2 linked regions of the Ovis aries genome follow. Each later gene encodes a partner of the first gene's protein in a complex. Links are inferred from orthologs where the notes say so. Each region holds a gene or a part of one and is shown on either strand. Other genes may lie near its edges.

The links. Proteins that work in one complex are often made in the same cells at the same time.
Region 2: the proteins of OPRK1 (region 1) and PDYN are in contact, whole or in part, in a cryo-EM structure (PDB 8F7W), measured with the Homo sapiens proteins. The link is inferred for Ovis aries from reciprocal best matches to the Homo sapiens genes OPRK1 and PDYN. Residues at the interface, in NP_000903.2 of Homo sapiens: Thr111, Gln115, Trp124, Val134, Ile135, Asp138, Tyr139, Met142, Lys200, Glu209, Cys210, Asp216, Tyr219, Lys227, Val230, Phe293, Ile294, Glu297, His304, Ala308, Leu309, Tyr312, Tyr313, Ile316, Tyr320; in NP_001177821.1 of Homo sapiens: Tyr207, Gly208, Gly209, Phe210, Leu211, Arg212, Arg213, Ile214.

What each region holds. Positions count from the first base shown.
Region 1 is NC_056062.1:34,733,141-34,737,162, forward strand, and holds the start of OPRK1 (kappa-type opioid receptor), read right to left. Parts: upstream 2,805-4,022; 5' UTR 2,687-2,804; coding exon 2,591-2,686; intron 2,226-2,590; coding exon 1,930-2,225; intron 1-1,929. UniProt on the Homo sapiens protein: G-protein coupled opioid receptor that functions as a receptor for endogenous alpha-neoendorphins and dynorphins, but has low affinity for beta-endorphins.
Region 2 is NC_056066.1:52,860,979-52,864,833, forward strand, and holds PDYN (proenkephalin-B precursor), read left to right. Parts: upstream 1-1,276; coding exon 1,277-1,405; intron 1,406-2,706; coding exon 2,707-3,354; downstream 3,355-3,855.

The DNA.
Region 1 (4,022 bases):
TCACTCCTCATTTACTATCAAATGTAGTGGGCACATGCATAATATTATTACATGAACTCTGTAACTCTTTGTGTATTTTTGGCTGAATTTATCCCCTTTTCACAAACTTTAGTCTTGGATGTCTTTGAGATAGACATATTTAGCTTATACTTATATTTTTTTGTACTTATCTTGAAAATTCTAGTCAATCTACAGTGATTCTTCTTTCTTTCTGACATGTCTAATGCTCCGCAGGGAGTTATCTTTTCACATATTTTAGGATTCTTTGTTCTTTTTAATCCTAGACTGCAGGGCTATACAAAGAGCTGTAGAGCAACTGAAGAAGCCTCTCAGACTCAAAACTTCAAGTTCTCCTTCAAGTGACAGTAAGATGTATCTGTTTCACTCAAGCACTCAAGTATGATGGAGCAGGAACAGAGTGGGTTTCCTCCTGGCATCCCCTTTCTCTGTAACAATGTTTTATTATAAAACAACGGCCTCTGTAGCAAAGATCTCCTAGAAATTTTAATTATAGTTTAGAGTACAGCTGTTCTTTCTTTTCTCTTGGTTACTATAATCTTCTTTCTAATGGAGAGTAGCCCTGCAATTACTAATGATTTGGAAGAACAATTTGCTTGTAAAATACTACTTCTGTAGCCTGTACTCATCACTGATAGAAGCCCAGTGGAAGGCAATAAGCAATTGTGGAAAGCAAGGTCACCAAGCTAGAGACACTAATTGTAGGTGAAAAGAGCTTTATAATATGTATTTGGAGGCTTAAAAGATGGTTTTCAGTTCTGTAGCACAGATGAGGATAAATGTGGTGACATTCCCAAGTCAGAGAGAGAGAGAGAAAGGAAACAGGTATTTGAAAGATTCATGCTACTGCAGATATTGTCTTTACAGTTCACAATAAATAAAGAGCATGTTTCAAAACTAAAGTCAAGATTTAAAAAAAAAGTTCTTCATCCTTTCTATGCCTCTAAGCAGAGTGACTTGCATCCTTTCTTTATACACAGGAATGTCTCATCTTCGTATTCACTCTCAAATGTGCAGCTGAAAACCATGAAGTCTCCCAGAAAGGGAAATTTCTCAAAGGGTATCCAGACAATGGTAGGATTTCTGTTTTTTACTTGTTTCCTTTGTTATGAAAGGCCAAAATACAAATCACTTCACTTTCTAGAAAATTAGCATATATGCAGATATTTAGGTATTTATTATTGGAAGCTGACTTCAATAGGCCCACAAAAGAACAATAAAAAGAAAGTTCTAGTTCCCATGGTGGGAGATAAAAAGCAAAACAATTTTTGGAAACCTCCAGCACCCATACTGTAGGAGACAAATACTAGATGGTTTAGGTACCAAAGTGACTGGCATTCTAAACAAATGAGGTGGCATGTCAGTACTACAAGGCTCACATGTGGATACCTAAACAGTATACTGGATTTGCTTCATAAACCATAACACCATTCTGATGAGTCACAGGAAATCCTGAATTCTCTTCAGGGCATTGAGTGGGCATGAATTTTATCTAAAGAAATATTTGCAAGGGCAAAACAAAGTGCTCCAAACTGGTGCAGGCAATCAGGCAAAAGGCCAGGCAGTTGGACTAGTTTCCTTCCCAGGAGACACTGACTTTGTCTCTTGCAGGGACACCCCATTATCTCCATCCGAAGGGCCTTCTGCAGGGATTTGGGGCGCAGGGGAGGGTCACTCTTAAACCTTCAAGTCACCTCTGGTCTCTTGGATTCGTCCTGTGCGAACCTCGCAGTCCCACAGCAAAATGTCTCCCAGGAACTCTCAGTTCGAAGAGGCAGCCCCCTGAACCTCTCCGGAGCCGGGACGGAATGGGGTCCCCACTACCCCGCTGGCGTTCCTCCGCGCGTCCCGGTGACCAGCCCGACCCTCCCTCCGGCTGCGGCCACTGTAGCGCCGGGACCCCGCGCTCACCGGATGATCACGAACATGACCAGCGAGTTGCCCACCAAGCCCACGACGAACACCACGGAGTAGACGGCCGTGATGACGACCAGGATGACCGGGGAGATGTGAGCCGGCTCCAGCAGCACGTCCTCCGAGCCCGCGCTGCCGTTACCGTCCGGCTCTGCCCAGCCCGGGAACCAGCCGCTGCCGTTGGGGGGCAGGCAGGTGCTCGGGGAGCAGGTGGGGCCCGGCTCACCGCGGAAGATCTGGACTGGGGGCTCCATGTCCGGCGGCTGCGGCAGCGGGACAAGGACAGGCGGCACCTGCGGGGGCAAGAGAACCGACTGGACCCGGGAAGCGAACTTTGGCCGCGTCCGAACCAGCACGCGAGCGCGGCGGTGCAGGGGCCTGCGACCCGCTGATACCCACCCTGGCCGGAAGACCCCGGGGAGGCACAGGGGCACGGACCTCTCTCTGGGTGCCACCCCGGCCAGCAGACGCGCCGCAGGTACCAGGAGGGGCGGAGAGCGCGCCGTCCTTTCCCCTGGTGCCTGAAATCCCCCACCCTTTCCTAGGCACAGCTCCCGGGAGGAACTGTCCCCAGTCTGCGGCCCGGAGACCCCAGGGACAAGAGACCCCTGGAGCGCAGAGCCCTCGCTGCCAAGGACTTCGAAATCCCAAGGCTCACCTCCGGCTCGGGAGATGCACGCAGAGGAACAGCGACGCTGGACCGCGCGGAACCCAGCGTTCCCGAATCCCACTCAGCCGGCGGGTTGCCGGGCATCCGCAACCCCGCGGCGCTGGCTCCCAGACCCGGACCCCGCGCTCTGGCCGCCCCCCAACCCCCGAGCGCGTCCCCGCCACTCCGCGCGCGGTTCCCACGACCCGCAGCGGCAGAACACGGCTGGACGCCGCGAGTGCGCGCGGGCCCCAGACATCCCTCCCCTCCCGACCCCGCCCCTGCCGCCCCGCCTACCCGCCTGCGCGCCCCCCGCCCCGCGCCCGCCGGCTCACCCGGAGCACAGCCTCCATCCATGGACCCCGGCCTCCCCGGCGCCTGACTGAACATCTGGGCGATTCAGACTTAGGGTCAAGAAGGGTGCGCCTGTCCAGTGCAAGTGGACATCGGGGTTACTCACAATGTGTCTAGAACTGCTGCCGGCCTCGTTCTCAGAACACATCTGCTTTCCGATGAGGAGGAAAATGGTAATTTCATGTGAGTGACCAGTCCAAATACGGTAGCAAAATGATCCAATTAGAATAAGACCAGACCACACGGTTTTAGTGGTTGATTTTGACCACCCAATGCTAAGAGCCGACTCACTGGAAAAGACTCTGATGCTAGGAAAGATTGAGGGCAGGAGGAGAAGAAAATGACAGAAGATGAGATGGTTGGATGGCATCACTGACTCACGGACTTGAGTTTGAGCAAACTCCGGGAGATAGTGAGGGACAAGGAAGCCTGGCGTGCTGCAGTTCATGGAGTGGCAAAGAGTCGGACACCACTGAGCGACTGAACAACAGCAAATACATAAATAGAATATTCTGTCCCTTTCATTCTGCTGGATGCACGGGATGCACCCTGCGGTACCACCTATGTGCCTTGCTGTCACCTGCCGAAGAGAAGACACGCCCCTCCTCAGGCCAGGCCACAGTGTGGGTGCAGGTCCGAGATAGGGTCCTTTCTCCCACGTTAACCTCCAATGCCATCACATTCCCTCATGAAGGCAGCTTTTCTCTAACACCTCCAAGAGCCTGAGCCCCCAAAAGAAATCCCATCCTCGTTCCTCTGCATGACTCTGCCAGTGCCAGGAGCAGACTCTGCTGGTAAGAGAGGCCCTGAGCACAGTGACTGGAGGGTAAGAAAGCAGGACTCAGGAGCTGTGATGAGACCCTGAGGGAGACTGGGGAAGTCCGCCTCTCCCAGCTGGTGTTGGAAATCAGGTGCCAGGAGACCAAGTTAGCCAAGTGTCCTGAGTGGACTCCTGTCTAAGACTGACTGACCTCTTGAGACAAACAGAGCCCACTGCGGCTGCCCTGGCTCCCATCTGCACCCACACCTGGACAACTCATGGCCCAGACAGTCATCCCACCCATCGATGGGCAGCAGAAGGGAGCTC
Region 2 (3,855 bases), on another chromosome or scaffold:
AGTCACAGCTCGTGCCTTCATGGAACCAAATTTTAAAGACTCACATGGGTAGTTACCGAGAAGTGGACTAGTTTAGAGGAGGAGGCACAAATCTCTGGAAAAACACAAGGAGGAACATCCCTTCCACCTAAGAGATCAGAGAAAGCTGCCCGGAGGAGGTGACATCTACTCTAGGACCAAAATGACAGAAAACAGAAGAGGAGAGGAGGGTTTTCTAGGAAGAGGATTTTCTAGGAGGATTCTCTGGCCCCAGCATGTGCAAAGGGCCAGAGGTGGGACAGGTGCCACTCCATTCATTAGGGGGTTTGCTAGTAGCTGAATATGGTCAGAATACAGAGTTGAAGAGCTGGCTACAGGGTTAGAATTGAGGGTGTCTCTGAAAATGAGTACTTCCCTGGTGGCTCAGACGGTAAAGCGTCTGCCTACAATGTGGGAGACCTGGGTTCAACCCCTGGGTTGGGAAGATCTCCTGGAGAAGGAAATGGCAATCCATTCCAGTATTCCCTGGAAAATCCCATGGATGGAGGAGACTGGTAGGCTACAGTCCTTGGGGTCACAAAGAGTCAGACACGACTAAATGACTTCACTTTTCTGACATTTAGGAGAAGGGCCCAGCCTGACCCAATCCAATGGTTCTGATCCCAGACCTGATATACCGAGAAGGGCATTTCAAGGTGGGCAGGAGGGATCAGCAAAGGAGTGGAGGCAGGGGGGGCCAGCACGATCGGTGAAGGTGGAGCCATGGCTGGGGCAAGGAGGAGTGCTGGCATGGGGAATGTCCACAGCAGAAAGGACTGGGCTGGGGCCAGCCTGGGGAACAGGGGACACAGGCAGGGGGTAGAAGCTTCAGAGAATGCAGAGAAACAGATAACCACATCTTCTGGCTTGGTGAGTGGTCAGAGTGGGTTTGATTTTTGTCCGCTTCCTAGCTGTGTAAGCAATCACTTGCCCTCTCTGAGCCTCCACTTTCCTATCTAACGGTACAATCCACATTAGGAACTATTGGGCAGATTGAATGTGAGCATATAGGAAAGCTCCCAGTACACTGCTGGCGTTCAGCATGTTAGTTCCCTTCCTTGACCGCTGGCCTTGGGCACCCACTGCTCCTCCATAGGCCTGTTTTCTTGGCTGTAGAATGGGAACAAGAACGGTTGCCTTGCAGTGCAGTGCTGCCAGCAAGAGTTGGCTTTGCAGGCTAAGGACACACTGCACAGAGTAGGCGATCACAGATTTCCTTTCCTCTTTCTCCCTCTCCAGCAGGAAGAGCCAAGACAGAATGGCGTGGCAAGGGCTGGTCCTGGCTGCTTGTCTGCTCGCACTCCCCTCCGTCACAGCGGACTGCCTGGCCCAGTGCTCCTTGTGTGCTGTGAAGACCCAGGATGGGCCCCAACCCATCAACCCCCTGGTGAGTTTCAGGCAAGGCTCCTCAGTGCCAGAGTGCATGGAAGGGGCAGTCTGTGTGTGGAGCCCAGAGAGGGAAGGTAGCAGGCCTGGGCAGCTGTGAGCCTGTTCTGTAGACTCCTCCCAGACTGTGCAGAGCACGTCCTGCCCTGTGGTAGGTCTGGGCAGCTAGGGATGGCTGTTTTCCAGACTCCTGTTCCCTCCCCAGACCTTACCGCCATAGGCTCACTCAGGTCTGGGACGAAAGCTCAGATTTCCAGGGAGCCTGTTGCCTGATAGCAAGGAATGTCATTTATGAGGTGGTGTTGACTTTGGGTATTGGCAACCCAAGATGAACTTTTCAGGGCTTCTTACAACCAGGCTGATGGGCACTCCCAAATATAGTCAATTTCATGGAAGGAGCTCTTTGCACCACCACTTGGCTGGCCTTGCTGGCTATACTTTGAATCAAGCTCCTCCCTGTGCCTCTCCCACGACAGCAGACAGCTGTAATAAAGGTTCAAGGGTGTGGTGGACAGAACATGGGCTTTGGTTCTGCCAATTTCTAGTTCCGTGACCCTGGAACCCCCTCTCTGATCCTCAGTTTCCTTGCATGCAAAATGGGAGTGATTCCATGAGCTGATGATGCAAAGTATTAACGCTGGCCACTCTCCGCTGAGAGGCACACAGCACACCACGTGCTGCCCATGTATTGGTTTGATCTCAGAAGTGCCCAGTGCTTAGGTATGATGACTCATGGCATTAGAACGTGGGTGCAAGTTCTAGTACTGTCTAGTATTGTCATTGTTGTCACTGTCATTATCAACACCATCGTCATCATGTTTGACTCCTCCCTGCTTTTATGAAGTATATACTGTCATCCCAGGGTTAGTGAACCCTTAACTCCTCACACGTGTTCTTTCCACCATTCTGCATTGCTTCTTTTCTCTGTGTAAAGTGTGTGCAGCATTCTTTATACCCAGGAAAGGTTGGGGGAGCCAACTAGTCCCTCTGGAGTCAGAAGCAGAAGATTATGGGTGAGCCCAGGAGAGCACTATGGCAAGATTTTCCTTCCAACTTTGACAGTGTCATCTGTAGCCATGGGCCCTTGAAAAAGCTGTTTCATCTTTCCTCGTCCTCCACATGGGCATAAAGTCACTTACCTTTAGGCACCATTGGGAGCATGAAAGTGGGTAGCCTGGGACTTAGTAATGGTTTTTTAATTTTCTCAGACACTGGACTGGGGACTGTCTGGGGCAGGAGGTTGTGGCTTGACAGTTTGATGGAGGTGGCATTACCACTGTGGTCTTCTGGGGTCTCTTGCAGGTTTGCTCCCTGGAATGCCAGGCCGCCCTGCAGCCTGCTCAGGAGTGGGAGAGGTGCCAGGGCCTTCTGTCTTTCCTCACTCCCTTCACCGTTGGGCTCAATGGCAAGGAAGACTTGAAGAGCAAGGCAGTTTTGGAAGAGTCTAGCAGTGAGCCGGCCAAGCACATCAGGCCCTACTTGAAGGAACTAGAGAAAAACAGATTCCTTCTCAGCACCCCAGCAGAGGAGAACACTCTGAGCAGCAGCCTGGCGGAGAAGCTCAGGGGTCTCTCTGGCAGGTTGGGGGAGGATGCAGAGTATGAGTTGATGGGGGATGCTCAGCTGAACGATGGTGCCCTGGAGGCTGAAGCGAGGGATTCCAATGAGGAGGAACCCAAGGAGCAGGTCAAACGTTATGGGGGCTTTTTGCGCAAATACCCCAAGAGGAGCTCAGAGGTGACTGGGAAGGGGGCTGGGGAAGGGGAGGGGGGTGAGATGGGCCATGAGGACCTGTACAAGCGCTACGGGGGATTCTTACGGCGCATCCGTCCCAAGCTCAAGTGGGACAACCAGAAGCGCTATGGTGGCTTCCTCCGGCGTCAGTTCAAGGTGGTCACTCGGTCTCAGGAAGACCCCAGTGCCTATTACGAAGAGCTTTTTGATGTGTAAACACCTCCCCATCATGGAGTTGAGTCAGGAGCTTCCCATAATGCCCTGGAGATTGGAGTGAACTCATTCATCCGCCCTTGTGGTCCCCATCCCCATGCTCAGTTAAGCATTGTCTACAAGACTTCTAAACCTAGTCTGCCTCTCTTCTGCCCAGATACAGTGTTTGTCCAGGTCAGTGAGGAAGGAGGAGAAAGGTTTCCCTCTCCAGTAGGCTTAGTGCTTGGCTTCAGCCCTACGTCTCTAAAACTACCACCACCAGCAGCTTTGCTATCAATTCCCTTTATATGACTCCCCAATCCCAGGAATCCAGACTGACCTCTTGATCCCTCTGGATCTATGATCAAGTATTCTGATCAATGCCCTTCAAAAGAAAAATGAACATTCCCCTCCCATGCAGATAAATAGATATATCAATATCTATCTATACAGATAGATAGCATAAAACATATAAAAGGTAGAAATTTATAAATTTTTTTAAAAGGTAGAAATTTAAAACAAAAT